Linked DNA regions of Rhinolophus ferrumequinum. The protein of the gene in region 3 purifies or fractionates together with the protein of the main gene of each other region. This does not show direct contact. Links are inferred from orthologs where the notes say so. Each region holds a gene or a part of one and is shown on either strand. Other genes may lie near its edges.

Region 1 (6,918 bases), on a different chromosome or scaffold from region 3:
AATTTCTCTACTGAAGTTGGATAGGCTCTATTTATTTTTTTTAAATGCTGATGAGAAGGATGCATACTGTAAAAAATGATAGCATGGAATCCTAGTTTCCATGTTGAATGTCCCTGGACTAGATCTTTTGTGCAACTACAGAATGTGTCACTGTCTATATAATAAAGCGAGAGGGCCCATTTTCAAATTCTAGTTCTTGCCCAGGAACACCTCACATCAACTTGGAAAAGGTATGAGTTCTTATACTCTTCACTTGGAGAGGGTTCTCTTCATCTAGTAAAACAAAGTCTTCTAATGATTTAGCATCCGTGCTGTCAAAATCCTTAATTATTACATAACTTCTATACTATGATATAGTCAGCTTTCGCAAAGTAGCAAGCTCATGCTAGAAAATCATATTTAAACACTCATTCTAAGAATAAAAGCAATTTAAAAAAATAACAGAATTTATTAATTTGCCAGCAACATTTTAACAATAAAGGAAAACATACTTACAATTTCTTCTTCTAGAACACCTCTGAAAGCTTGGTCAAGGGTACATTTTTTTTCATTTTCACTATTGAAAACAAAAGACAAGCTCCATTTTTTAAACAGCTCAGGGTAAGTATAAAGATTCAGGCAAGCATGTTTCATGGATACTAATGCCTTACCTGCCAGGTAACTGGGTGAAGGTATTCAACAATGGTTTGATATTTTTGTTGTTCAAGGCCTCTCTGGTAGACTTCTAGAAAAATAAATATAGCAAGTAAGTGGAAAGATTTTTGCTTATTAATTACTGAAAAACATATAACTCATTAAATCTAAAAATGTTTATAACCGGGAAAAATTATCCATCAGTCATTCTATCGGTAGTTTTTATTCAAATGCCACTTACTGACATATAGACTCTCATCATGTTAAACCTGGAAAGAATTTCCTAGCTAGACTTTCTCATTCCAATTTTTCCCTCCTACCATCTCTTTAAATATCATAGTCATGAGAGTATTCTGCTTTTAAAAAAAAGTCTCCAAATGGCTCCTCATTTACAGACGTTGGTTTTGAAGTCTGATAGCTCCTTCTCAAGGTCCTTGAGAAGGTTATCCCACTCAATCTATCCAACCTTATTACCCACTACCCTCTAACACATACTCTCCACTAAGGTCAAGCCATTTTTTCCCTATTTTTCTATCAAGTACACTCTAGTGTATTTACACATTCATGTTGTTCTTCCCACCTGCTTATGCAAATTTTATCCATTCTTCAGGACTCATCTCAAGTCAGACTTCCTTGAGTGAGATAGCTTAGCTTGTTCAGCATAGTCCCTCACACATAGTAAACTGAACAAATACCTGCCGATTGTCTTAGTCATAATTGAAAGACAAAAATACTGAAAAGTCAATTCATTCTGTGAAAATTCACATATGATTCGAACAGTCATCTTATTACCTCACAGGAGTTAGATGGAAATGTCCATTCCTGACTCTGCCAAAAATAGGCTGTGTCAATCTGGGCAAACCCCTTAATGCTTCATTTTCCTCACCAGTTAAATAAAGGGTTGTTGTAGATCCTTACTACCAGTAGCAGCAGTGGAATTACCTGGGAACTTGACAGAAACGCAAAATCTCACATCCCATTCCAAGCCTACTGAATCAGAATTTACATTCAACAAGATCTCCAGGTGATCCACCACACACTGAAGCTGGAGAAGCAGCAGACTAGATGATCTCCAATTAAATGGCCCTTTCCAGGATTAATGTGATCTTGGATTGTCCTAACAATTACTCTTAGAATTTCAAAGCACCAGTATTACAGCAAAATGCCCAGAAAGAAAATCATTCTGATAACATAAACTAGATATAATCTGGTATTAGAAAAACAAACTCAATATTCTATGAGGAAAAAAATAACCTGCACACAAAAAACTACTTACTACAAAGAATCAATTTTCTTTCACAGAATTTTCATTCTGGCATCACTATAACTATGTAGGCAGTTAAATATGTGAGTAGCTGAATGATGACTTGAAACATTGGCACAAATGCTAAAGACAAATAACAGTCAAATAACTTAGAACAGGGGTTCTTTGTGCTGGGTGCTGTATGGGTAACAAAAAAAGAATACTGGCTTTGAAGTCAGAAAAAAAACAGTTTAGTAAATCACTTAACTTTTCAGGGGCGTGTGTCTCATTTCTTTCTCATCTACGAGGGGATAATAAAACCTAGCCTACTTCACAATGCTAAGACTTAAACATGAAAACGCTCTGTAAGGTGTTTCTCAAATGCTAAAGCTACTCTTCTCCAATATGTAGGAATAAATGACATCTGACAACCCTTTTCAAACTGCTCTGTTTGTCTTTTCCCACTTAGGATCTCTTAGGAGTGAGACACTGAGGGTTACAGGTACGGTGAATAGGCAGCCGGAACAAACCACCTGGCAACTAGGAGGCGGGGCGGGAGCCAGTCCTCTGGGCTAAAACCACTCCCGCCCTCCTCTTTCCCCAGCTCGCTTCCAGTTCTGGAGACACCTGCCCGGCTAAGCGAGCGCTGCAGAGGAGCTGGACCGGACGAGAGAGAGTCTGAAGATGAGCCCTTCATGCCGGCGACCAGAACGCGGAATGGAGGAGGCGGACCGCAGAGGATGCGCGGATGAGGCAGGTACAGCGTCTTTTCCACCTCCCAACCCCCGAAGCGGCCGGGAGCCAACGCTGCGGCTTACGCACCTCTGTCTCCGCTTTACCTCAGAGCAAAAGTCCAGTAATTAGAGAGGAGGGCAAAGAGAAGCGCCGGGTCAGGCTTGCACCCTCCCGCTTTCTGCTCACCGTAAACCGCGTCCGCGCTTCGGGTAAACTGAAGAGTGGCGGTGTCGGAGACATCTTGGCTGCGCGTGCCCGCCACCGCGCTGCGGCGCAGGCCGATGACGTCAAGCCGGGAGCAAAGAGATTACCGGCTGCGTACGCTGCTGGAGCGGCGTGTGAGCAAAGGGGAGGGGCGGCTGGCAATTAGGAGCTTCTGTGGAGGTCAGGTGGGCGTTGGAAGCCAGAGTCAACCACACAATGCCCTGTCCCGGTTCGTGGGTAACCTTTGGGGTGACGGCATAAGGGCGGGGCCGCGCCCTGTGAGCTCTGCGCTGCAGGGCGGGAAATAGGTCCTGACGCGCACCGCCGTGGTTTTCCGGGTTTGGGGAAGCCCTAGGTAGCTTAACGGGCGATGCGGGAAGGTAACCGCTGCCCGAGAATCCAGGACAAGGAGGTTATCTAGGAAAGCACCAGGCTGGGGAAGTGTTGGCAGTGGCGGTGGGTCGCGGACCGCGGTCATGCTCCAGGAAGGAGTAGTCTCAGCTCCCGATTTCTGTATCAGCTCTGTAGTTCATAGGCCTTGTAGCAGCAGTAGTTCACCCTTCTGTGAAATAGAATCAGTACTTTCGTATTTTGCCGTGTGCTCCTGTGTATAATGTGCACCCACGTTTTTGGCCCAAACTTTCAGGGAAAAAAAATCTTTCGTTTACATTTTTTAATTCAAATTGTTATTTGTTCACATTTAGGTACTTGTTTTTTGTATTATAAAGGAATTTTAGCATTTATATTTTTAACATTATGGTATAAGAAATTTTATGTAACAAATAATTACAAAAAATAAGAACAGATACAAGGTACGAGAAATTTTATGTACCGGTAACAAATTTACCATATTTATGTATCACAGAAGGCCAAGAACTCTTGGTCGTTGCAAGTTCATCTTAAGTTCAACAAAACTGATTATCGTATTCCAGGGTATTATTTTGCATATGGATATCGTTATTGATTTCTAGAGTTACAACACTTCCAACTCATAAGCATAAATGAATTAAAAACATATAGATACGGAATTAGTACTACCCATGTATATTGCACGTCCTTATTTTTACCTCACAAATTTTTGGGGAAAAGTGCACATTATACACGGCAAAATATGGTATATCTGTCACAGTGCTGTTGGAAAGCGTGAATGAAATAAATGCAAGTGTGGCATACGTAGCCATATAAGACTTATTGTTATATCTTGGAATTGTTAACTTGGTGGCCATATATAGGTCTCTACAGAAGGAGAAAGACCTTGGAGGAATGCAGTGTTTGGCGCTGATAGTAAAATGGGTGGCACTGCCTCCAGGGTAGAGGCACCCCTGGCAAAATCCTGCGTCCTCGGCAGTTTCCTCCCTTGTCTCCTTTCACTGGAGAGGCTTGGCCGATGAAAAGCCAAGTAGAAGTAACTTTCTTAGTTGGAATGATGCTGTGGGGAAGGAAGTTATGCATTGACCCAAACACAAACTTCCTGCCAACTCTTCTTCGTTTCCACGTGTAACCTAATGATGAAAGCTAGGTGTGCTTTACCTTGTTCCCTTCATTGACATTCAAAGAGAATGTAGGAAGCCAACAAAAAGATAACTTTGCATAGTGTTGCCTGTAAGTGGGAATTGTGAACAGTGATGGCTGGAGCACTGTTGTCTTTTTTTAGAATCAACAGAATCATTCAGGTTTGATGGTATAACAAGTCTCAAAATTGGCAAATTAAACTGGTATTAACTGATTTAACAGGTAGCTGATTAATAGGATTATTATATTACAGAAGATTATTAACTATCAAGAACACAACTAAGAACCAAGAAAGAAATGCAGTTATTTTTTACAAAACACCAATCATAAGAAGAGCTGGACTCATCCATCAAAGCCCAGTGACTTAGAATTCTCTTTATTCAGCAAAAAAGTCAGCAAACATTTGTTGAGTACATTATACACAATACACAGTATCTGTTGAAAGAATGATATATGAACAAATGAACAAAATAGTGAAGCCTAATTCCTATTTTGAGAAACTTTTAGTTTGGTTGACATAAAAGAAACAAACAATTACAGTGTACATACAATTTCTATTATAAATACTTTCGATTATAACTGCTGTAAGAGATTAAAGGAGAAAGCAATTGCTACCATATGAGGTGATCATAGAGCCCTCAAGGAGAAGATAGAATATGAGCTGGACCCAGAAGGATTCCAATAGACAGGAATGGGAAGGGATGAAAAGGAAAGATATTCCCAATGGAGAGACTGGTATTAGCAGAAGTGTGGAAGGGAGAAAGCATAGTGAAAGATAACTGTTTTACTGTAACATTGGATTCTGAACAGAAATAAGGCTGAACAGTCAAGTTGGAACCAGATTGTATTAATGTTTGAGGCCAAAGAATGTTTAAAAATGGCTTTTACACTTCCTGCCAAGTTATAGCTGGCAGTATATTTGGGAGGAAGGAGAGAAATGAACTGCTTTGCTGCTGAGTGCTGAAACACCAGATAAAGAAACAGTAGGAAAAAAAGTAACAATCTTCAGAGAATAATGAGGTGTTACTGTTTAATGGGTACAGATTTCAGATTGGGATGATGAAAAAGTGCTGGAGATGGATAGTGTTGATGGTTGCAAAACAACGTGAATGTACTTAGTACCACTGAATTGTACACTTAAAGATAGTTAAAAATGGGTAAAATACTAAATTTATCCATCAAAAATCACTACAGTAAAAACATTTTAACATGTAGATCACTTTAATTAATACTTTATAATCCCCAAAGCACTTAACATTTAGTACCTCATTTGCTCCTCTAAGTGATATTTGAAGGTGGGTAATACAACTGTTATGCCATTTTACACATAAGGAAGCAAACTCAAAGAGATGGGGTTCTTGATAAAAGTAATTGGCAAAATGAGACTACCCGGGATTTCGATTCCAAATATTGTACTCTTTACACTGTTATACTGTTGTAAGTAATGCTTACGTTTTATTGAGCACCTTCTATGAGCCAGACGCTTTTCTTGTATTACTTCTACTCCTTAGAACAACATTATACATAGTTATTTATCAGTGAGGAAACAGGCTCATCTGTCACATGACTAGAAGCTTGTTTGAGATTTGAGCCTGGCTTTAATCCCAAAGCCTGTATTTTTCTCAGGTCTTAACTCTTGATTCTTTACTAACCCATGGGGTTAGTTATTGTTTCAAAAATTATTGCCTTGCTGTTGGCTAAGAGTGAGGATCATACTGTCATCAATAACACATTATGAGTTTTTTAAAAGAATGTAATAATAACACTCAAAAGGTGACATCCCGTAACATGTTACCTTTTCACTTAGATTTATTGTGCACTTGTTTTTCCTCTTATGCTAGTGAGGTAAGATGGACCTGCCTCTCTGTTAGGAAATACTCTCCATGGGAAATTCTAGGCTGGGTGATTTAGATAATTTCTAAGTATTCAGCTCTTTATTCCTCTTCTTTTCCTTGGTGTGATCTTAGTTGGATTCAAGTTACCATTGAAGTGGTTAGATCTAGGAGAAAAGGACCAAGGGGGCAGCTTAGTCTGCTTTTGTTCTAGTCTTTATCCTCTAGTCCTGGCAAAAGGAAACTTTTGGCTCCACGCTCACTAGTCAACCACATTAGGATGTTAGATTGCAGTTTCTGCTGGTTCCGGTTCTGGGCCTTAGCCATCTTTCCCTTTCTTTCTCTCTGTAATTTGAGTGGATTGAAAGAATAATATTGACAGGGAATGGATGTTTCAGTGGCAAAGATGAGCAAAAAGAATGAGACATCATTGTTGGGAAAGGAATGGAATTGGGAAGAAGAATAGTAGAAGAGGGATGGCACTTTGTGAATATTGTTGTGGAAAAAGAGGAATTACAGCACCCATAAAAACTAGGGGTGCTGTATTTTTGCCACAGTGGTGGCAACTTTCAAGCATTTTGTATTAGTGTATTATTCATTCATCACATATTTATTGAGTGCCTGTTATCTGCCAGTCACAAGTACAATATTGGATTATATATGCAGTATGATTATTTTATTAAATCGTTAAGTACTGTGTATATAATTATCTAGTATACCTGGTAAAATCTTGTTTGGTGAGCTTGGTTGGACCACACA
Region 2 (7,487 bases), on a different chromosome or scaffold from region 3:
GCTAAGTGAAATAAGTCAGATAAAGACAAACACTGTATGATTTCACTTATATGTGGAATCTAAACAACAAAATAAATGATCAAGCAAAACAGAAACAGACTCATAGACACAGAGAACAAAATGATGATTGTCAGATGGCAGGGGGGTTGGGGGGCTGGATGAGAAAGGTGAAGGGATAAGGCAGTACAAAGTGGTAGTTACAAAACAGTCAGGGGGATGTAAAGTACAGCGTAGAGAACATAGTCAATAATATTATAATAGCTACATATAGTGCCAAGTGGGTACTGGGCTTATCAGGGGGATCATTTCGTAAATTATATAAATATCTAACCACTATGCTGTACCTCTGAAACTAATATTGAATGTCAACTGTAATTGAAAAGAGAAAGAGGAAGAAGGCACATTTCTCATCAAAGGAAAGTGGAAAGAGGTGAGTAAACCAGCTCTTACATTTAATAGTATTTATTGAACATTATGTGTCAGACTCAGTGCAAAGCACTTTACAACTTTTATTGCACTTAATACTCAAAGCCCCATGGGGTCAATTTTATTATCATCCCCATATAAAGAATGAAACTGAGGCTCCAAGAGGTTAATTAATCTGCACAAGGTCAGAGAGCTTTCTGGAGATTCCTGTAGCCTCTAAGCATGCGGGGGGCCCTTGACTGTAGTCAGTCACTTTACTAGAATTCATCATCCCTTTCCATCTCCTGGAGGACAAAACTCCTCTCTACTTTGAAGTTCTCCACCTCAATAAAGAGAAGTAGGACTAACAAGCATACAGTCACTCAAATCAGAAACCTGGGATAACCCTCCATCTTTCCCCTGCCATCCACTCCATCGTTGAGATCCTGACATTCGCCCCCATAAATCTCTCCCCCACCTGTCCACTTCTCTGCATTCCTTCTTCAGTGGTGCCCCCATTAGCTCTCAGTAGGACCATTACAGTAGCAGCTGAGAGCCCGGGCTCTACAACTTACTACCTGTGCAACCTTGGGCAAGTTTCTTAATACATATATGTGTTCCACTTCCATCTGTAAAGTGGGAATAAAAATCACAACACTGTTTGACATACGATAACACTATATAAATGTTAGAAATAGGGGTGGGAACTTACAACTCCTCGCTTTTCCCTTCCTCTCATCATTCTTCACATAGTAGAGAGTGTGGTTGTTTTTTTAATGCATTGCACTCAGAAATCTCTGGTTCACAACTTTCTAAATTCTAGGCAGTATTTGTCATTTTTGAGTTTTTTCTAGACTTTGGGGCTTTTGCACACGTCATTCAAGTCCAACTACGTCTATTTATCCTTCAAAAATGGGATTAAGACTAACTTTTTCAGGGACGCTTTCTGATCTCCCAGAATGATTAGCCATCTTTGTTACAAGCTTCCCCAGTTCTCAAGCTTACACTTCTCCTGCCGTAACGTTTGCCAGGCTTAAAACGAGTTATCCACTGTGTCTTTCCCACTAGACTGTACTCTCAGCGGGGCAAAAGGTCTCGCCTGTTGGTTCTCGGCTGGAATCCCAAAGCCGAGCCCAGGGGGATAAATATCTACTGAATAAATCAAACTGGAATAAAGCAAAGTTAAAATTTCCAGCGACGGAGCTGGACCGTTAAGAGCCTCCCACTTCACTACTCTCACCACATCCTCAAATCGGGGCCTTTTACTCTCCTTCCCAGTGCCGAGCCCCTTAACGTGGAGGTCCCTCCTACCTCCAGTTTTTCAGAAGTGGCCTCTCCGCAGGCATCTACGCTTACTAGTCACTCTCTTCAAGTAGACCCAGCGACCTGGCCCCCCCCCCCCCGCCCAGATGTCACAGAACTTCCTTCCTCCCAAACTGATAACCTTCTCAGGTTCCCCCCGCAGTTGCCCACGGAGCCTGTTCACCTTCCCCGAGGCATCGCCCTGTTTCATTTCTGCTCTCGGGGCACCGACCACCCGCTGGGCCCTCCTCACGGGGGTCCACCCCCCTAAACCGCCCTCACAGCTCCCCACAAGGCCAGCCCCTGCCCCTGCCCCCGGTCCCAGCTGACGACGCACTCTCCCCGAGACACACGCGCTCCTTTCGTCGCCTCGCTCCACCCGGGAGGCCCGACCCCTCCTCCGGCTCTCACCCCACAGACCCCCGTGCACGCTGACCGTCCGGCAGACGCCCGGCCCACACCTCCTTTTCGGGGCCGTCCTCGGCTCCTCTCCCCACCGCCAGCCGGGGCCAGTTCCGGGCCTCACTGGGATCCACCCCGTCGTGCCGGGGCCCTTCCCCACCGGTCCCGGACTCCTCCAGGTGTCACCCGCTATACGCGGGCGCCCCTGCTACACTCGTCCCGGAACGTGTCTCCTTCCTGCGTGGCCCGAAACCCTCGCCCCATCCCTGGGGCTCGCACTCCCCCCAGCCCCCCACGGGCCCTCCGGACCCCCGGATCCAGGGCCTCCCGCACTTCCTCCCCTTCGCGGGCCTCCCGGACCCCCCACCCCCACCGAGGGCTCCTCCACCACATCCTCCGACAGCCCGGACCCCTTCCGGTACCACCCGCCCACGCAGCGCTCCCAGCCTTCCCGGGCCCCCACGTGTGCCTCCCGGCCTCCCGACGATCCCAGCACAACCCCCCGGGCCCCGCGTGGCCTCCGGAGAGCGAGCGGCCCCGGGAGCGAGAGGGGCTCCGAGGGGGCCGAGGGGCTGCGGAGCGAGGCCGGAGGGCTCGGGGGAAGCGGCCGGGAAAGCCCCGGCCTCCGGGGAGGGGTCTGATCGCCGAGGCCCGGGGACTCCCGGAAGCGGCCGTGGAGCCTGGGGGTCCCGGGGGAGGCCGAGGGAGTCCGGGGAGCGGGCCGGGCGGCGGCGAGCGGCCTCACCGTCAGTCACGGCTCCCATGGCGTGCGCGGCGGCGGCGGCGGCGCAGGCTGAGGCGGCGGTTGGCGGCGGCGGAGGTCAAATTCCCACAATGCAGCCGGGTAAACAGCCATGGAGGAGGAGGCGGCGGCGCCTGCGGCCGCCCGCTCCGACGCCTGAGCCGCGCCGCGCCGCCGCCGCCGCCGGACCCGCGCTCCCCGCGCTCCCCGCACTCCCCGGGGGCGGCCGCGGCCCGCGCGTGTGGGAGCCAGGCCAGGCAGGCGGCGGCGGCCCGGCTGCAGCCCCGGCCCCCGCCGCCCCCCCTGCCGCCCCCGCCCGGCCCACGCCCAGAGGCCGCCCCGGAGGCCGCCGCCAGCCGCCAGGTGAGCTCGCCCGGGCGCCGCCAGTGCGGCGGGGGCCGCGGGCCGCCCGGGGTCGGGGTCCCGGCCCCCTCCGGGGAACGGACCGCGGCCCCCGCCGCCCCGTCCCGACTGCTGCTGCTGCGGGTGGGCTCGCCCCCCGGGGGTGGGGAGGGCGGCGTGGGTGCCCGGCCCCTGCCGAGCCCGGGGGACGTGGGACTAAGGGCACCGATGGGGCGCGGCGCGAGGGTCGGCGCGAAGTTGGCGCCCACGCGCGCCCCGGCGGGTCTCCAACGCGGGCACTTGCGCCGGGCGCGGCCGGTGATCAAAAAAGGCCCCGGGATCCAGGTCGCGTGCTGCCGGCCGGGGCGGCCGCCCCTTTCGCTCCTGGGTACTGGCGGGTGCTGGGAAGGGGGGAAAGAGAAACTTGGCGACCTCCGGGAGCAGTTCGCGGAGCGACGCAGAGCGGTGTGCCCGCCGCCCTCCCCCGGCGCCCGAATCCCGTCGCTGGGCAGGGATGGGGCGCTTGTGTTTATTTTTCTCTTTGACTTTCGGAAAATGTCTATGTGACTGTCCCCATCTTAAGGGGAAGTTGAAAGTGAAGGGGGAGGGGGTGTTTAATGAGAAACGTTGCCTTGTATGTAAAGTTACACATTTCCGGAGCACACTGCAGATTATATTGGCATCTCTTCCCAAAAGTCACTTTGATTCAACTTCGATGAGTTTCTCACAAATGGCAACCTTTAGGTCGTGAAAAGTGAGAAGAGGCGAGCACCGACCCAGCTGCTGATTTGCTCTCCAGTGGGATAGATTCAGTTAGGGCACCAGCAGCGTGTCTGAGTGTTGAACCCAGGTTTGATATTTTATTGATCATAGAGTTATTTTCCAATTTTCCTATCCCGCAAGTAACCGGCCTCTTCATCTCCCGGAGGTAGCACTTAGTGGCGTGGATCTGGTGGTTTCAGTTTCCTTACTAAAGTTGGGTTCATTTCTCTCAGTTCTTTCAAAGAGGAAGAGTTGTAAATGCAAATGTGTAACAACAGTGAAGTGTGTTTCATTTCACCTCTAGCTAGGAATCCAGTGTATGTAAAATACTATTCATATATGAAGTCAGAACTTCAATTATGCTCTTCAACAGTGTTCTGAAGAATCAGCACCTTTGACTTTTGGCACAGAGGTAAATAAATAAATAAAGTTAGGTTGAGTGAAGATTCTTAGGTGTAACTTTCCCTCCCCCAGGGCCTGAAACCTCTTGGGCTTTGAAATAATATTGTCCTAAACACTGGCTGCCTATTTGCATCAGTCCCTGTTCATTTTCTTGGTTTTAGGAGAGAAGATACTCTAACCAAAAGAAGAATTACTTTAAGTCTTAAGTACTATACATTGTAAATTGAATGTGTCAATTGATTGTCTATCCCAAAGGCATTTTAGCAGGGATCATTATTGTTTAAAAGGTAATTGTCTGGGTGAAACGATGTTCTTTTTAAGTTACTTGTTACTTAGTCTCATTATCATAATACAGATTTTGAAACAGTATCTAGTGATTTAAAATAATCTTTAATGTTGTTTATAGATAAGTATCCCTGTCCTCTGTAACTGTTAAATTTTCATGAGACATCCTATCCTTTATTTTGTAAGTTCGTTTTGTAACTTACAACTTTATTGGACAGTGCTAGAAATGTTCTGAAGAAGATCAAGAGAGATGGGAAAGGCTTTGAAGTTGGAGATATACCTGAAAATAAACATTCCTGGAAGTTTTTGAGTCAGGTGGTGGGAAACACATCAAAATTTGAGCCTTTATGAACTTTTAAAAATCTGCTTTGTCAGCCACGTAATTTACCTTGCAGTTGCATTGACACAGATCTGTGTGCTGAACATTTAAAAATTGTGTTAATGGACTTTCCTTCATATCATATATAGTGAAAGAATATATTTTAGTAAATTTTAGACATTGTCTCTTTCTCATGTGATCGATTATATATTAACATGTTAATGAACGTTAAAATAGAGCTCAAGTTCTAGGCCATACTGATGTTTCTTTTCTAGGAAAATCTCGGCAAGAAGTAGCAGATTCTAAGCTATAACAAACTGATTTGGACTTTGAACTTAAATGACCGTAGATTTGGTGATTTACTCAAGTCATGAGATTCCTGGTTTCTTTGAGACTATGAGAGTCTAGTTAAGGAAGTTTGTTTCAGTGTTTATTTAATTTTAACTTTATGAAACTATAAAGGATGATAAGATAACTAGCTATATGATCTTTACCTTGGTCTTATGAAATGATGTAGGCATTTCTATAATATCCTTTTAGAGCAAGGGTCTTCCAGGGGTCTGTGAACCTCTGAGCAGGGGTGGGGGTGGGGGTGGGGGTGGGGCAGGTGTCCACGAATAGGCTTCAAAGGATTCCTGACCCCCTTACAGTTGTGACCGAAACTTTTTGTATATGTGATTTTCTGGGGAGAGAGCCTATGGTTTTAAAATAGGTCCAGGGCCCAAAAAAGTTAGAGAAAGATGTTTTTATTAAATGGGAGTTCGAATAATTTTTAAGAGAAACAAGTAGGAAAAAGTAGATCTTGGTGTTCAATACTTGCCTTTTAAAGTTTCCTTCAGCCTAGTCATGTGGTCTTAGAGGTGCAAAAAGACTTCCATTTTGTTCCCACAGCAAAGCGTCGCCTGTGAGTTGATAAACCATGCACGCACATAAAGGGCTTGACATGCTATCTTGAGTGCATTGTGGCTGTTTTTAAATTATATTTAAAATTTTAGAACAGATAGATTTGTGGTCCATAACAGAGACTTGAGCCTGACAACCAGTCCTCGGAACAAATGGTTCATTCAGTTCCACTCTCTTATTACTCTCCAGCGAATCTGAAATCTGACTGGGAGGTAGTCACTCTAAGAAATGGGTTTGTGCTTTGGTAAGACAGCAGGGTGTGATGGGAAAAACACAATTTCTGACTCGAAACAGGCTTACGTTCAATTCTGGGTTCTTTCATTTACTGTAGCTACTTAACTTGCCTGACCCTCAAGTTCCTCATCTGGAGAAGACTGACTTAGTGGAGGTGTTAGGAAGCTGGCGTGAAGTTCCTGGTGTAAAACTCAGAGCCCCTTATTTGTGCCCAGGAAGGACTTGGAAGCTAGTTGTGGGTAACCATTAATAAACATCTGCGTGAACATGTATAAACAAACATGGTACATGATACCGATGTACGTTATTTTCAAATAAGTATGATGAAAATATTGAAACTTTTGGGAAAAAAAGTCAAGTTTTTAAAAATGAGTTCAGACTTACTGGTTCTTATATTGTAGACGTTTGGGGAAAAGTTGAAGGAGAATGGTGGTGCTGGTGGCCGCGCGAAGGCCCTGAGTGCTGGGCAGAAAGAAGCAATAGGCACGCAGCAGCATCGCCTGTCTCTGGGTCAGATTCCATTTAACTGCTGCTCTTCACTTGTGATTTCAATGAAAAATCTAAGTGAAAAACTGCACGTCTGCTTTCCAGTCCTTCACCTCTAAAAATGTTTGCACACCCCCTGCTTTAAGGGACCCTCACAGGTACCCCAGGGATTTCATTAGTGAAAGTTAAACCTAGGACTTTGGCTGTCTAATTCTGATATCTTTAAGACCTCCACAAGTGGGTACCTGCATCCATTTTTCTCAACAGGAAAGAGTATGGAAGAACTGAATTGTATTTTCCTTTCTTTAAACATTGAAGGAAGAGAGGGTATTATGAGTGAAAGAAGAGATATATGAATAAAATACTTATAAGGCTCGTGGCCATAAAAATACGCTTGCTGCCACTGTTTCTGTGGTCTTTCCTGTTTCCTCTCATTTACTCATGGTGAGCATTCATACTTTCTGCTTTCAAGTGGATAGCGGTTATGAACATAAGCTTTAAGCTCCTGAGTAGAGACAACCTGAGTTTGACTTCCATTTCCTGAGCTTTCTGGTTGTGTTCTACTTGAGTGGGTGAGCCTCTGAGTCTGGAAGAGATGACCATTAAATGAGATAATAAAAACAAAAGGCTATGCTCAGTTCTAGGTTCCTAGGAAATGATTGAAAGCGGTAGCCAATTTGAGGATGGTTTCATTCTCATCTTTAAAAGGAAATCGCTAATGCATTCTTTCATAGAGAAAACCTTTAATTACACTCATTCCTCTATAAACGTCTGGGACCATCCTACTTTCAGAACAGCCTTTCACATCTTTCTGGTTACCTTGGGCAGGTACCCCACATCTGTAGGACCTATCAGACCTGTCCAGTGTTCTTAACAACTGTGTGGCATTCTCCATTAGGCTGG
Region 3 (7,676 bases):
TTCAGTTCCCACAAGGGATGGTGGGCTGCGCCTCCTGCAACGAGAAAGAGCTAGCGAGGCCAAGGGGGAGGAAAGAAATCTCGAAGCAGCGAGACTAGCTTGTGCAAGGGCCCTGTGGGAGGAGGGACAATTTGCTTTCCAAGAACTGAAGTAGTGATGTTGGGAGTAAGGAGGAGAGTAGTGCCTGCAGCTGGAGAGGAGGAAGGGCTGGATAATGTGCTGAAAAGAGGAGGGATAGGAGTGGAGGAACCAGAAAAACAGAGAAACCAGTGAGGAGGCCACTGCAATGTCCAGACATTGCAGAGGTGATATGTTGGTGGCTGGGATGGAGAGAAGCTGAGGGATGAGAGCTGAAAGGAGGGACAGAAGCAGATGGGCACGAGGGATATGTGGGAGGTCAGACTGACAAGACTGTGTGGCCGTGGCTATGGGGGTGGGAGAGGAAGGTGTGAAGGGTGGCTTCTGGCTTCCACGCTTGTACACCTGGATTCACTACAGTGCTGATCAGGGAGGTAGGGAACACAGGAACGGACCCGGCTTGGAAGGAGGATTCTGACTCTTAGTCAAGTTGAGTTTGAGGTGCCTTGAGACATTCAAGGGAAGATGTCCAATAAGTAGTTGAACATATGGGTCTGGAGCTCAGAGGAGAGGGCAAAACTGGAGATGCAGATATGGAGTCCTCAGGCTGTGGATGGCCGTGGAATAGGAAGCCATGGGTGTGATGAGATGGCCCAGGGAGTGAGCACGGGGTGAGAAGAAAGAGGGCCCAGGATCGAGCCCTGGGAGATTGTTAATGCTGCGGGAAGGAGGAAGAACCCTAAAAGGCACTGGAGCAGGCGTAGCCTGGGAAGTGAAAAGAAAACCAAATGTGATCATACAATAGAAGATTGTGTGTGGTTTCAAGACCTGGGGAGCGGCTATCAGTGTCCATGATGCTGAGTGGTCCAGTCAGGTGGAGAAAGTGAGGGAACACAATCCTTTCAAGAATTTAGCTGTGTTGGGGTTGGGGAGCATACGGGGTCTGACAATTAAGTTTGTGAACTCACTCTAGAAAAAGTGCTGCCTACCTCATTCCTGAATATCACTACGGTCACCTTTGAAGCACTCCCCTTGGGAAGCTGTGCACCGACGCCAGAGCCTAGTCCACCCTTCAAAGCAATTTTGAAACTCTTTTTCTGGAATGGCCATCAGAGCTGTCGTCATATTACCCTTGATGTCCTGAATGTCATCCAAATGTCTTCCTTTCAATATTTCTTCTGGTAAAGAAAGAAGTCATTGAGGCCTGGATCAGGTGGGTAGGGAGAGTGTTCCAATACAGTTATTTGGTGACTGGCTAAAAACTCCCTTACATGCAAGAGCCATGAATTGTTGGGGAAAATTTCAGGTCGTCTAACTTTTTCACACAGCCCGTTCAGCGCCCAAATAGTAATAACCTTGGTTATCTGTTTGTCCAGTTGGTACAAATTCATGATGAATAATCTTTCTGATACCAAAAATAAGTTAGCAACATTGTTGCAACAAGCCCACGAACTTGTCAGACGCGGTAGATACATATATCTTCTGCATCACGGTCAGCTGCCTCAAGACCTTTTCTTTCACTGTAGAAGCTTTTCCTTAATTACCAACCTGCACATATTCCAAGGACGTGAAATGGGGGTGTGGGTTGTGGGTGTCCAATTTAAAACCGCATCAAAGAACAACTCTGAATCAGCAGGGCATCACCTCAGGCCCGTGGACCATGTTACCAGTTCTCAAGTAGCATTTGATAGGAGCTCATATTACCTTTTAATGGCTTTTCCCTTTTTTATCCCAGGAGAGGTAGGATCCCATTATTCATTCCCCTCTTCCCTGGAAGAGAGAAGGAGTGGCCAATTTCAGTCAAAATTTTAAGAAAGAGGAATCTTTCAGAAGACCCTTAATATCCTCTTTGTCCCTTAGCCTCCACCTTCACAAACTTCTCAAAAGAGTTGTCCACACTTCCGCAAATTCCACTTCTAATCTACCGTCCTCTTCATGGACATCGTCTCATCAAGGTCACCGATGGCCAGCAAACCTCTAGACCCAAGCCAAGTTTCACTGTGAACTTATGGCTGCCCTTGATACCTGATCACTTCCTGGGTGAAACTCTTCTTTCAGTCTGTCCCAGTGTCCCACTCTCCTGGTTTCTTCTGTTAATAAAAAATCATCCAGACTTTGGAAATAGGAAAAAAGAACAGGAAAAAGAACTACACTGATATTCTTTCAATGTAGTGCCAGGTGTACCTATTTTGCCCAGGGGTTATTGATTCTCTAGGGATGTGTACCTTTGTGTACCTTCCGATTTACTATCTATTAGGGCATTTTACAGCTCTGTAAGGGTAGAAGTTAATTTATAGAAAATTCATAATGAGCAAACAATTCTTGTCCAATAGCGATGCAAATGTTTTCTATCTGGTAGAAAAGGAAACCCCAAAGGTTACAGTTTTTTTGCCTTGTAGGACATTAAATTGTGTTGTTACATTAATTTCTGTGTTCTTTTGACTGACCAACTCTGTATTCATTCCCAAATTCTTTTTTGAACCAGTGTTAATATCTTTTCGATGTCTTCATCCCCTAATGAATGAATAAAAGCTTTGACATGTGTTCATTTCATATTGGGGAGTCATGTTTTTCAACTTTTCTTTTTTTTTAAGATTTTATTGGGGAAGGGAACAGGACTTTATTGGGGAACAGTGCGTACTTCCAGGATTTTTTCCAAGTCAAGTTGTTGTCTTTTCAATCGTAGTTGTGGAGGGCGCAGTTCAGCTCCAGGTCCAGTTGCCTTTGTTAGTTGCAGGGGGCACAGCCCACCATCCCTTGCAGGAGTCAACGAGTTGAACCGGCGTCCTTGTAGTTGAGAGCCCACTGGCCCAAGCGGGAATCAAATCTTCGGCGTTAGGGGAATGGAGCTCCAACCACCTGAGCCACCGGGACAGCTCTCAACTTGTTCAAGAATTATTTTTGACCACTTCTGTTTCCATGGCCCCACTTCAGCAGGCTGCACCGAGGACAGGAAAGGGGGGCGGGTGGTGAGTCAGGTGACTAAAAAGAGACAAAGACATGAAGGGCTTTCCTGACGGAAGTCTAGGAACCCTGGGGTTAGCCTGATGCCCTGACTTGCTCTGGATTTCTAATTCTCCTGCCAGCTAGAGCTCTGCCACAGGAGCTGGTTCTCCCTGAACGCAGTGCCTGAGTCCTCAAGCCACAAGGCTCCTCCCACCCTGCAGGGTGAGAGGCCTGCCCAGCCTTTTCTGCTTTTCCGGGTGTCCATAGCTGAGAAGGGATTCCTCCTCTCCTCATTCCCCAACCCCTCAGGCCTAGAAAACACGTGTAATGGTGGGGTTTGTCACTGTCGCCCAAAGCTAGCCACCCCAAGCACAAACTTTCTCTGAAATGTTCTTAAAAATTCACACAAATGCATTCCATGCATGCAACCCCATTTTGTAACTAGTGTCCCTTTTGTCAAAACTAGCCCTCTCAAGAGCTCCATCTTTTTTGTCCTGTGATTTAGCCCACATTTAAGAAGAACTGATGCACTGTGTCCCTTCTATTTGATCCTGTATCTACATGTAATTATCTCATTGAACCCTCACACCTCCTTTGGGGGTGAGGAATGTCCCATATTACTGCTGAAGCAGCTGAGATTCTGAAGTGGTAAGTGGCTTGCCCAAGGTCACACATGGTGTAAGGAGCGGAACCAGCCAGTTTTGATGCTGATCATGCTCTCTCTTGGTTTATAATTATTTGTTCCTCCATGATCATAGCTGGCAGGTCCTCAGGGACCCCAGGGTCCCACCCATGCCCTCCTGAGATGGGAAGACAGGCCCAGAAAGGGACCAGAACTAGCTCAAGTTAACACGGGGAGGAAGGTGCAAAATCTGGACTCAAAGCAAAAACTGCCCTCTGGAAGCTTATAGGACACTCCCCCTCTCCCAACCAAGCTCTTGTTGAAATGTCTGCAAGAAACCATGTTCAGAACCTTACAGTGGACTAAGCCCTCTGGAGTCAGGAAATTGAGGGTTAAGCTCTGGCCTTTGGGCAGCTCACTACCCTCTCGGAGTCTCAATTTTTGTGTATGTAAACTGGGTCAATTATTGGGACACCTGAAAAAGACTAACGTTGTTAGTAAGGCAAATACATTGTAAACCTACAGAATACCTAGAGGTGACAGACCAAAGCTCATTCTGGGCTCTGGAGCCAGATTAGATTGTCTAGGCTCAGATCCAGGTTTTTGTCTCTTAAATAGTCTGTCACCTTAAGTAAATTTTTATGCCTCAGTTTCCTTATATGTGAAATGGGGACTAACACTACCTACTACTTCATAGGGTTGTTGTAGGGATTCAAGCGCTTGTAACAGTCACTGGCACGTAATGACCTCTTAGTAAAGTTAGCTTTCATTACAGGCTTACTGCTCTAGGCGTAACTGTTAGTTCTAAGCCCAGAAAATACCGATCTCCTCCAGGCCCTGCCCCCTCCAACAGGCCCGTCCCCATCTCCATTCGGTCCCGCCTCCTCATCTCCAGGTCCCGCTCCAGCCTGCCCGGGTTCCTCCTGCCACCAGGGGGCGGCAGCGCTAAAGGGGGAGGGGCATTCTAACTGAAGCTGGCGACGCTCTAGGTAGCGGCGGCGGCTGCTCTGTAGCCAGTGGCGGCGGCGCTCTAGCCAGCGGGTGTGCGGGGCGGGCTCTCAGTGGTGCGGCCGGCGGGCGGCGATGGCGGCCGTACGGGGCCTGCGAGTGTCGGTGAAGGCGGAGGCCCCAGCGGGGCCGGCCTTGGGGCTCCCATCGCCTGAGGCGGACTCCGGTTTGGAGCGTGGCGAGCCGGAGCCCATGGAGGTGGAGGAGGGCGAACTGGAGATCGTGCCGGTGCGGCGCTCGCTGAAGGAACTGATCCCGGTACGGGCGGGGGACGGTGGGCGAGGAGGAGGAGGTCGCTAAGAGAGCGAGTGCCCCGCGCCGAAGCGGGCCGGAAAGGGAGGCGGCCGGCGCCCGGGCTGGGGGAAAAGTCAGGGGAAGGGGAGCGAGGGGGGCGAGCGCGGGGGGTGGGGGAAGGGGGCTCCAGGCTGGAGGCGAGACCCGGAGCGAGAGAAAGGACGCTGGGGCGCCCGGAAATGGGTGTTGAGGGGGCTGGAGGAGGTGGGGTAGAGCTGGAGGGTACTTAAGGACGTCCCTTTCGCTGCCCCTCTGAGCTAGTCTGTGCAAGGGGGTGATTGAGGAGGGGCTGGGATTGTCTAGGGGCTTGAGATAAAGGGGGAACCCCAGGCGGGAACAGGACCAAAAGTGGCCCAGAAAGAACTGTGGCGCCAGCATCCAGCCCTCCTTGTGGGTCGTGCTCCGGTGGAGCTGGTGTCTGTAAAACCTAGCACTCGCGGGTTTCTCTTGGAAGGGTGGGACTTGTCAGCAGCAGGAACTCAGTGTTTCTGTTGTGGCTTGAGGGCCGTCTTGTCCCCCATGCAGCCCCACTGCTATGTAGCACCTACACCGTGGCCCCAGCATCTGACCCTTAATGAACCCAGAACATCAGCGAACAGCAGTGGTCCTTGGTCTGTTTTTTTAATCACAATGGAGATACTGAGAGGTGTTTTGCTTGTGGTTTGGTGGTCCAGTGTCCGGTTCTTATGGCTGGTCTCAGACCTGCATGGCTCTTCTCAAGTACTTAATTTCTCACCCAACACAAACTACTTTTTACCACGTCAGCAAGACATGCTTTTAAATTGAAATTATGGGGAGAGGTGAAGGTGGGAATCACTAAAGATAGCAAATGATAGTGATTCTGGTAGCAAGGATGAACAAAGTGGCATTTTACCATTAACTACATTGTATCATTTAAATATTACCCAGGTTGTGAAGTCGACATCATCCCTTTATTCGTTCAGTTTAACGTGTGTCTATTGCATCCCTCACTACAGGTGCCTGGCACAATCCTAGGCACTTGATCAAGATCAAACTCCCTCCTGGAGTTTATGTTCCAGTTGGAGGACACAAGTAACAATTTCTGATAGTGGTAAATGCTATGAAGAGAATAAAACATGTTAATGGGAACAAAAGTGCAGAGGGCGGGGGGCGGGGTGCAAAATGGGCAGCAGAATGGGATAGGATGATCAGGGAAGTCGTCGGAGATAGTGACATTTAAGCCAAACCCTAAACGACAAAAAGGAGCCAACCATGTGCAGACTTGGAAGAGAGTGTTCCCAGCAAGGGCAACAGTAAGTGCAGAGACTGAGATGGGAACAAGATTGTTTTGTTGGAGAAATGGAAAGTTCTGCAGCATAAGTGAAAGAGGTCAGGAAGGCCTAGATACGAGGGTGGATACCTAGGCCCAGAGAGGCCAAAGGAAATTGCACAGTGTTGTGTAATCTGTGAACTGCGACTTGAGTCCTGAGCTTCCAAATCCCACCCTCTTCACTGCACTGTGCTGTTTTCCCTTGGAGGTCTGGGTGAGTCGGGGCTTTCTGCATTTTGGTGAGGGCTTGTGCTCCACCTGGTGGCCTGGCCTGGTGCCTTTGATCTGTCTGGGTTGGAGGGAGAAGTGGACGTTTTTCACGAAAGCCTTTAGATTTTCACTTACACAGGTACTTTCAATAGATGGAATTACTTCAGGTGTTGCACAGGCTCTGATCTAGAAAAGACTTCTCATTAAGGTGGTTGATGGCTACCAGGGAGTCCCTGGGATGTTGTTTCCTCATAATAAGGGTTGTGAGGGTAGGGGAAGGATTGCTGAAGCGAATGACTATTCAAAAGGCATCAGCTGTCTTTTATTATGAGATTTTCCTCAATAGCTGTAAGCATTTCATACATTTCCCCCTCGTGTTAGGACACAAGCAGAAGATATGAAAATAAGGCTGGCAGCTTCATCACCGGAATCGATGTCACCTCCAAGGTAAGACAGACCAGGATTTATTTATTCATTTTGAGAAGCGGGTGAACTTCGTCCCTAGGACTTGTGGAACTGCAGTTATTCTTTACCTCCTATTTTGTTTTGCTGCAGAATTAAACATTTTTAACTTAAATTTCATATTATACAATGATGCCTTTGTGCATTCTGGAAACATCTGGGCAATATTTTGTTCTCATATTCACGACAAGATGAAAATCACAATACCAGGGTGACTGCGTAACCACATCCAAGAGAAAGTTCTGCACTGGGAATGCTTTTTTTATGCTATGTCCCTTCTTTAAAAGTGCATATACTGTTTCCACTTTAAATGAAACAAAACATGAATAATAGCATTATATTGCTATATTGGCTGTATAAAAGCAAAAATAAAAATAAATATGTCATGCCTATGTTTTATCTGGGTCTCAGTCTGTCAGATGGCTTAAAGGCCAAAAGAAAAAACTGACCTTTTAGACAAGAAAATAAAGTGAAGATGTTTTCCTGTTGTAATTGAAAAAGAAGTGGACTGCACTGTTCTTAATCCTACAGTTTGCCATTATGTGAAACAGATATATGGGGGAAAGGGTAGTAATCCCAGAACTGATACTTAAATTATGGCTAAAGGAAGGTAGATTGTTTGCACTGGCAAGATGTAAGTGAAGAAAATTAGCATAACTATTGGGAAGTAACAGAAGTGTTGCTGCTTTACCAATCCCCACAAGCTTTCTATAGTCAGACCTTCAATTAGTGTGGCAAAGTTAATACACAGTGAAGGGTTCCTAA
Region 4 (7,977 bases), on a different chromosome or scaffold from region 3:
GTGTATGTGTGTGAGACTGACCTGTCCACACACCCCTGGCCTCCCAGGACTCCCACAGCTCCGCGCAGGACCCACCTTGCACTCAGGTGCTGCTGGCTGCTGGTTGAGGCTAAGGCTGAGCAGCCCTGGGGAGGAGCCAGGCACCTGCGCCTTAAGCTCCCCACTCAGCTGCCACTGGTTGACGCACGGGCCCTGGCCGGCTGACAGAATCTGTGGAAGGCAGGGAGGGGATTGAGGGGTCAGCGCTGGAGAGGGGAGCTAGGCAGGGGTGGCAAAATGGAGACAGAGACTCACCAGGTCCTGGTAGAAGGTGACGTGCTTCTGTGGTGCCCGCATGGGGAAGATGGTGGTGGGTGTAGAGGAACGGAGGTGCCAGAGGGTGAGTGCTGGGCCCCCTCCACAAACCTGGGCAGAAAGGTGGGGTCCCCAGCCTCCTAAGCCACAGGCCCTCAGCTGGTAGGGCCTGCAGCTGCCACCCCATCCTGCACTTTGCCTGGCTCACCATCCAGTCTGAGTCAGTTGCCAAACATCCAATCCAGCGCCCATTGTGGGGCCTCGAGCACTCCTGAGAGGGAGGAGGGGAAGAGCAGAGGAGGTGAAGATGCAGAAGATGCCCAGGGAGAAGGCAGGACAGGCATGGGACATGCCCTCACCTCGTGCTTGTAGACCTCGATCGTCTGGACCTCCTTGGCCGAGCGGAGATCTGTGGGGGAAGAACCATGAGAGGCAGCCTACTTCCCCCAGCCTCCCTCACCACCATCTTTCCCTCTAACCAGAGTCCCTTACCCCAAAGCCGCACAGCCCCGTCCTCGCCACCTGACAGCACCTCGGGGCTCCGCTCCCGCAGTGCCAGGCAGTGGATATAGTCTGTGTGGCCTCGGAGAGCCCTCTGCAGGAGAGGAACAGTGTCAGGACAAGATCCAGAAAGAAGGCCTTCCCCCACCCCACCGTGACTGCCCAGCTCCACAGCCCTCTTACCGTGAAGCTCCCTGTCTCAAGGTCCATCATATGCAACTGGCAGTCTCCCCCTGCCAGGATAAGCGCATTCTCCTGCAGAGGAAGACAGAGTGGGGTCAAATCAGGACAGGGACAGGGAAGGATCACAGCTTGGGCCAAGAACAGGGCAGGGTAGAGACTTAGTTACAAAGGGTTCAGACCTTGGGGATGAGAAGCAAAGCATTGATTTCTGGTACTTCCAGGCTGGTCCTGGGGGAGGGAAAGCAGGGTCAGCTCTGGTGAGGCAGCACCTCCACCCCCACGTGCCCTCTGTCCACATGGCCCTGGCTCACCTGTATGGGGGCTGACGATGCCACAGCTCCTTGCAGCCCTTCATGGAGGAAAACAACGAGTGACCTCAGAGGTTCTCTTTGGAGTTGGATGCCCCAGTACCCCTCCTCCAGCTCGACACTTCTTACCTTCTTGAGGATCTCTGCCCACAGCCAGGCCTTCACCTCCCCATCCCCAGCGCTGAACATATGTCGATCAGTGGAGACCATGCAGTAGACCGGCCCATCGTGGGCTAAATGGAAATGCAGAACCTGAGCGACCCCGTCCTGCTCTCCTCCTCTACCCTGGGGTCCTCTAAGCCAGACTCAATGGCTGCACCCACCTTGGAAGGTCACTGCGGGCTTTTTACTTTCCTCTTTGGCCTCGGAGCTCAAAGCAGCAGACAAGCTGAAAGGAGAGGGGAAGAGGGTCTGAGTCAGAAACAGGGGACATCAGTCCTGGGAGAGCCAAATGCCAGAGCTAATGGGTTGTGGGGAGCAGAGGTGAGGGTACCTGAAGATGGCTATCTGCCCATAATTGTTGCCAGCTGCCAGGAACTTCCCACAGGGTGAGACACTCTGGGAGAAAATAGTCATGTGCAGCCGCTGTAGGGCCTGAAACACTTCCATCTGTGGGGAGAGACTAGATGAAGGCAGTCTGGGACCTCTGCTTCACAGAGTCCTTCCTAGTTTCCGTGCCGCCAGTTCAGCCACTGCCCAGACTTCTCCACCCTCCTCTGAGGTCCACCAAGGTGGGCACCTGCCCATACAGTCCCGGGGCTGGCTCGAAGAAAAGGTAAGGAAGAGGGGAGTTGAGGCGTGATGCCTAGTAGGACTTTGAGCAAGCACCCTGTGGGGACAGAGCCAGGAGTACAGTTTCCAGGCTCTCGCCCTCACATGGAAAGGTGCTCACTCGGGTAGTAAATGGCCATCAACTGTGACTGGATGGCCATCAGCTATGGCTAGTTGGCCGTCAGCTGTAACCAGTGAGCCATTGGCCACTAATATAACTGCCGTGGCTATGCTAGCAGTAAATGTGGGCTAGCAAGAAGATGGTGGCTGAGCTAGCAAGCGCAGATTACAGTTGGCACGGCGAATTGCAGTTAGTAGGGCAGATTGCAGCCAGCAATTGTGGTTGGTTGGTTGGCAGAGAGAGAGAGAGAAGCGGACAGCAGGTTGCAGATCGTGTGGATCCTGTTTCCTGTGTCTCCAACCCATTCGCCAGCGAGACTATGGTAGTATGACTCCCCTATCTATGGCTCCGTGGGTGTTCCTTTTTGGCCTCACCATGTCCTGCGTTCTTATGAGGGGAGGGGGACCAGAGACCCCGCATGACACCCTGCATAACACACCCAACCTCTCCTCAAAGTTCCCTCAACTGTCAAATGAAGCTCACAGGACATTCTGTCATGACTGGATGAACTACTGTATATAAAGAGCTTCACACAGTGATGCCTCCTACAAAACGCATAAACAGTGGCTCTATTACCCCAATACAGAAAAACATATTGCCTTCTAATTACTACTCTCTGACTTTCACGTTAGGCCCCTGTGGGGCATGGACCACAAACCCCAGAAGGCACCGCGCACACGCCGGTCTCACCTGACCCAGCGGCACCGCGTGGGGCAGAGCTCGCTCCATCTGCAGAACTACAAGTCCCAGACTGCTCCGCACGCAACGCAAACTCACGAGTCCGGACGTGCCCCAAAGCGGCTCACCGTCACTGAGCTTCACCCGGTCAATACCGCCAGCCGGCTCGGCGCGAAGGCGGCCGCCGCGTACCACCAGAGTCCCAAGAGCCGCAGTGACCGCCGTGAAAATCTCCGACACCAAGTGGCTCCCACCGCAGCCCCGCTACTCCAGATCCCCTCCCCCACCCGGCGAATGGGCCCGCCTTCCAGCCGCTCGCCGTCCGTCTTTCGCGCCTGCGTGAATCTTGCTGCTGCGCGCGCCTAAAGCCACGCCTCCCGCGTTGGGCCACGCCCTCGGAGGCTCCGCCTGTCGTCCGGATCCCACCCCTCCGCCCGCAGGACCCCGAACCCCAATGATCCTTCAGCAGCCTCTGGAGCGAGGCCCCCCAGGTCGGGCCCAGCGTGACCCGCGGGTCGCCTTGGGGGCGCCTCGAGGCCTGGACGCGAGGTGTGTGTGTGGGCCCTGGGTGGGCCTGGCCCAGGGGCGCTGGAGCTTTGGCTTGGGGCTCAGGGCTGGTCTGCAGGATGACGCGATGGGGCGAATCAGCAGAGTTTGGGCATGAGCTGAGACGAGTTTGGAGACTAACGAGGCAAGCTGCTGAATGGCCCGGGAGAGTGGGGGTGATTTAAGTGTCAACTGAGAGGGATTGGGTGGGGGTTCCTGGCTGACGTTGCAGGCTCAGGCCGGCAGATCTTAGGGTTGGGGTCAAGAGGGTGGGGTGCACCTGGTTCTTTTTTCTTCCCAGCCCCCCTCTCCAAGGAGCTGTGCCCATGAGCACCAAACGGCGCCTGGAGAAGGAGCAGTGAGTTTAGGGGCAGGGAGGGACTCCCAACAAGACCTGTCACCTCAGGTCCCCATCAGCCTGCCTGCCTCCCGGTCTCTCCCTAGGGAGCCCCTGCGCAAGCAGTTCCTGTCTGAGGAGAACATGGCCACTCACTTCTCTCGACTCAGCCTGCATAATGACCACCCTTACTGCAGCCCCCCTATGGTTTTCCCCCCAGCTCTTCCCCCACTCAGGTAGGCACCATTCACTAGCTACCCGCTAGGCCCTCTGGAGAATCACGCCCTATCAGAGCCAACCTCCAGGGCCTGCCTCATCCTGCTATTTTTAGTTTCTAGCCAACCTCTGTTCTCATCTTGGCTCCTTAGAAGGCGCCTGCAGCCCAGTAGCCCCTGGGGACCTGAACCTGGTGGTGGGTGGCTCTGCCAGGCCAGCCTCAACCCTGTGCCCTGTCATTTCCTTTTCCAGGAGCCCTTGCTCTGAGCTCCTTCTCTGGCGATACCCTGGAAACCTGATCCCTGAGGCTCTACGGATGCTGAGGCTGGGGGACACCCCTGCCCCCCACTATCCTGCAACCCCAGCTGGGGATGTAATGGAGCTCTGAATTCTGGCAGACAGTACCCCTGCCCACCCTCCTTCTCTCCAGTAGGGGAGACCAACACCCCCATGAAGGGACCAGCTGCCCTGCTTTTCCTCCAGACCAGGCCTCTGGGCACCAGAACCTTCCCCCAAAAGAGGATACTGAGCCCAACAGAACCCTGGGGTGGGAGGGCCAACAGCATGGGAATGGAGGCATGCCCCCCCCCCCCAGAACTGAATAAAGATTGCTGAACAGAGGAAGTCTTCAGTCTGGAACCTAGGGCCTTTGGGAAGAGGGGGCAGAGCTGGGGCACTGGATAGTGGGGTTTCTCCTCAAGATCTTCCCTGGAAAACGGTCAGGGCCTAGCCAGGTCCTGGCAGTCGAGGCTCAGACATTGAGAATGTGTGAGTCAGAGCCTCGCCCCCGCCCCCGCGGCTGACTCACTCCTCCCTCCAGCTCTGGGAAGTCAGGCTGGGGATCATGCCACTCTTCGAACCATTTAAAGTTAAAGATTCTTTTATTAATAAATTCTCCCCCCTCCAACCTTTCTCCCCAAAATAAATATCTCCCCCCCTTTGAGGGTTGGGGGGGCAGTGTCTTAGGGCCAGCCCCCCTAGAGGGCCAGCCCCCTAGTGTTAGGAACAGGTCCCTAACCCCCCAGGCTGAGACCCCAGTGCTGGAATTTCAGCTCATCTGAGTGGGTAGGGCCTGGTGTTGTGTCTGTCTGTCAGGTCAGACTGGCTGCCAGGCCATGGGAGGGGGGACCCTTGTGCAAATGTAGCAGTTCCTTAGTGTCAGCTGTCTGGTGTGAGCCAGCCTAGGTCTCATTTTCTGTCCTGGAGCCAGAGGCAGGGCAGTCAGACACCTTGAATGAAGGCTCCTCTAAAGTCTGGGTCCAGGCCTCAGAAGTGATTCACCCGTCCCTCATCCCTGCCCACCCCTGTGGTTGGAGCAGCCTGGCTCAGGGCTGTGTCTGGGAGGCAGGGTCTGGCTCCAGAATGAATGAATGAATGATGAGTGGGCGTGGCCTCCTGCTGGCAGGGGATGCTCATTGTTACTGGATCAGAGCCACACCGGGACAGCCCTCCCCGCCGGTCTCCTCTATGGGGGCTGCAAGATAAGAAGAGGGGTCGTCAAGAACAGGGAGGACGGTGGGGACTGATGGGGTGGGGGGGTGGGGGCACGCGGGCAGGCAGGCAGGAGAGCCAGGGCACACTTACTGGTAAACTTCTCTCTCCTGCGGCACCGTCTCCAGACCAGGAAGCCGGAAAGGAGTCCCAGCACAAGGGCCAGGCTCAGGGCTCCCCCCAAGATGGGCCACAACAGCTGGAAGGTGGCTGGAGGGGCCGCAGCGCCTGGGGATAGGACTCGAAGTCAGACCTCGCTCCTCTCTGAACCAGCCCCACTCCCTAGATCTGAGCCACGAGTCCCCCCCTACCAAGACCTCTACCCAGATTGGAGGCCCTCACTCCCGCCCCCCTCCACATTAATTCCCCCGATCTGAAGTCCCCTACTCCCCTCTACCCCAGCAACTCTCTCCCCCAGTCTGGGGGTCCTCTCGCCTCTGGCTCCGCCCCCCACTCACAGCCCAGGCAGAAGTCGCTGTGCGGTCGCGCCGGGCACGACGCGCAGTCCATGCACTTGTCGAGGTCTGCACTCCAGGAGCTGCCGCGAGAGCAGGGGGTGGTGCCTGAGGAGGGGGCCACGGGTCAGAAGCTGGGGGCGGGGCGTGACTATTCTGGGGGCTGAGGTCAGGGTCGGCAGGCTCGAATAACGTGAGTCACCGGCGCCCTCCTCCCGCATTCCTCACAGGTGACCGCACGGCCCGACCGGGACACGGCTGCGCGGGGAGTGGGGGGAGAAGGGGGGGCGTAGCGCGGGAGGTCAGGTCCCCACAAACCCGCCCGCCGCTGGCGGGTGACTCATTCCTGGGCATCGGGCCCGACCCCGGTCCCTCCCCCCGCATAGCTGGGCACTGAAGTCACCGGATGGAAGGGGGCACCCCACATGTGATGGGGGCACAGACCCCCGTGCCTCTCGACACCCCCTCCCGACTCTTCGGTCACTGGGGCTGGGCACACCCGGTATTGACCAGGATGGGGGCATGTCCCCTCACCGGACGAGACATCCCGCCCTCAAACTTTCTCCACTTCCGAGTCCAGACTTTAAAGACAGAGAGGTTCCCCGAGTTGGACAGGCGGGAAATTGAAGCCCTGACGGGATGAAGCTCGGAGCGAGATGGGACCTCCCCTGACCAGGGAGTGCGTTGTCTGGAGACCTGACCCCGGATCCCATGTCCCCCTAGTTCTGCCCTCTCCGCTAAGCCCCCAAGTCGACTCCCCGATTCCCGGCCGAGGGTTCCCCGGCCCCCACGCCCTCCTGCCCAGTCCCTGCTCGTCGCCCGGCGTACCTGGCACCCGCTCCCCCGCCACAGCGCACAGCAGCGCCAGCCCGAGCCACAGCACCAGGAGCCGCAGCAACGGGCGCTGGAGGCCAGGAGCCATCGTTAGCGTCCCGCGGGCGCTGCCTTCTGCTACCGCCGCTGGCCTCGGAGACCTACAGCCCCAGCCCCGCCCCCGCCCCCGCCTTCCGGGGCAGACCCCTCGTCTGGGCCCGCCCAGCGGCCCGCCCCTGGGCGTCCCGCCCCGCCTGGCCCGCTAAGTTCAATCGTTCGCTCTGCAAACACCGTCCTTGTGCGCGATCTTCTAGGACGCAGTCCTGGCTGCCCTCTCGGTGCTCAGGTCCGGGAGGTGTGTGTATGTCTGCGTGAGTGTGTGGGTGGGTGGATCAGACACGAAACCACCCACTGACCCATTGCAGACATAACTGCCGCTCTCTTAAGAGCCCCGGGGTATAATAATAAACGTAACACAATGATGTTTAATTTCTACCTTAGGACATAGTTACCTAGTAAAATGCGGGCTTGTTGTCTCCATTTTGCAGAGTATGAAACTGAGGCTCGGGAAGGTTAGGTTAATTCCCGAGGTCACAGCAGTAGGACTAGTAAGTGGCGGAGCGGAGACCCAAGCTCCACGCCCTGCGCCTAGACTTACCGCGGGCCCCGACGCCAGCCACTGATGTCCTCGCACCCGGGCCAGCTGCAGACCCTGCAGCCCCAATCTCGAGCGCCCCCGACTGACAAAGTTGGGATTCGCGCTCCCGCGGTGGTCTGGAATGGGGTCTCTGCCCCTCCCCGGGGCGGTGGTCCAGTGACGTCACTGCCTCTTTAAGACCCTGCCTCCGCCCCATCCCCGCACTCCGCCGTCTCTTAGGAATCTCCGCGGACTCCTTCCTTCGCAGGTGAGCCTGGGGCCAGTGTGCGTGTCGGGGTGAGGGAGGAGATGGGTGCCTCCAGGAGCGGGGTGCTGGGGGTGTGGCCTGCTGGAGAACTTGGACTGATCTGGCTACCGCCACCCGGCCGACCAACCCTCGGGCGCGGGGCTGCACGGAAGCCGACGAGCAGATCGAGTCCTGCGACTCGAGAAGGGTTAAATGCTCCTCCTTCCCTCCCCTGGGACAAAGGCACCGAAACCTGGGCTCCCCTCCCCCACCTGAGCTGCTCTCTGGGGCGGGCGCCCCTCCCCCTCACCTGCTGGAGCGGACCCTTGGCGGGCGCCGCCATTAAACTATCCTGGGCTCGCGCCTCCCGGCTGGCGCG

The links.
Region 1: the proteins of NCBP3 (region 3) and THOC1 purify together in Homo sapiens (co-immunoprecipitation; 4 studies listed by BioGRID and IntAct, with this or other methods). This does not show direct contact. The link is inferred for Rhinolophus ferrumequinum from reciprocal best matches to the Homo sapiens genes NCBP3 and THOC1.
Region 2: the proteins of NCBP3 (region 3) and THOC7 purify together in Homo sapiens (co-immunoprecipitation; 3 studies listed by BioGRID and IntAct, with this or other methods). This does not show direct contact. The link is inferred for Rhinolophus ferrumequinum from reciprocal best matches to the Homo sapiens genes NCBP3 and THOC7.
Region 4: the proteins of NCBP3 (region 3) and THOC6 purify together in Homo sapiens (co-immunoprecipitation; 3 studies listed by BioGRID and IntAct, with this or other methods). This does not show direct contact. The link is inferred for Rhinolophus ferrumequinum from reciprocal best matches to the Homo sapiens genes NCBP3 and THOC6.

Annotation. Positions count from the first base shown.
Region 1 is NC_046302.1:16,794,432-16,801,349, reverse strand, and holds the start of THOC1 (THO complex subunit 1), read right to left. Parts: upstream 3,015-6,918; 5' UTR 2,852-3,014; coding exon 2,798-2,851; intron 725-2,797; coding exon 651-724; intron 557-650; coding exon 496-556; intron 1-495. UniProt on the Homo sapiens protein: Component of the THO subcomplex of the TREX complex which is thought to couple mRNA transcription, processing and nuclear export, and which specifically associates with spliced mRNA and not with unspliced pre-mRNA.
Region 2 is NC_046300.1:57,897,546-57,905,032, forward strand, and holds the start of THOC7 (THO complex subunit 7 homolog), read right to left. Parts: upstream 3,009-7,487; 5' UTR 2,874-3,008; coding exon 2,855-2,873; intron 2,265-2,854; exon of another isoform or gene 2,144-2,264; intron 1-2,143. UniProt on the Homo sapiens protein: Component of the THO subcomplex of the TREX complex which is thought to couple mRNA transcription, processing and nuclear export, and which specifically associates with spliced mRNA and not with unspliced pre-mRNA.
Region 3 is NC_046304.1:14,691,538-14,699,213, forward strand, and holds the start of NCBP3 (nuclear cap-binding protein subunit 3), read left to right. Parts: upstream 1-4,672; 5' UTR 4,673-4,729; coding exon 4,730-4,912; intron 4,913-6,830; coding exon 6,831-6,896; intron 6,897-7,676. UniProt on the Homo sapiens protein: Associates with NCBP1/CBP80 to form an alternative cap-binding complex (CBC) which plays a key role in mRNA export. NCBP3 serves as adapter protein linking the capped RNAs (m7GpppG-capped RNA) to NCBP1/CBP80.
Region 4 is NW_022680357.1:4,524,576-4,532,552, reverse strand, and holds the start of THOC6 (THO complex subunit 6 homolog), read right to left. Parts: upstream 3,001-7,977; 5' UTR 2,908-3,000; coding exon 2,869-2,907; intron 1,896-2,868; coding exon 1,780-1,895; intron 1,675-1,779; coding exon 1,610-1,674; intron 1,520-1,609; coding exon 1,416-1,519; intron 1,328-1,415; coding exon 1,290-1,327; intron 1,207-1,289; coding exon 1,158-1,206; intron 1,051-1,157; coding exon 979-1,050; intron 890-978; coding exon 787-889; intron 704-786; coding exon 654-703; intron 566-653; coding exon 503-565; intron 406-502; coding exon 295-405; intron 211-294; coding exon 76-210; intron 1-75. Other genes in the region: HCFC1R1 (host cell factor C1 regulator 1), read left to right, coding at 3,311-3,405, 3,704-3,760, 3,847-3,975, 4,208-4,343; TNFRSF12A (tumor necrosis factor receptor superfamily member 12A), read right to left, coding at 5,374-5,429, 5,540-5,674, 5,905-6,009, 6,730-6,823. UniProt on the Homo sapiens protein: Component of the THO subcomplex of the TREX complex which is thought to couple mRNA transcription, processing and nuclear export, and which specifically associates with spliced mRNA and not with unspliced pre-mRNA.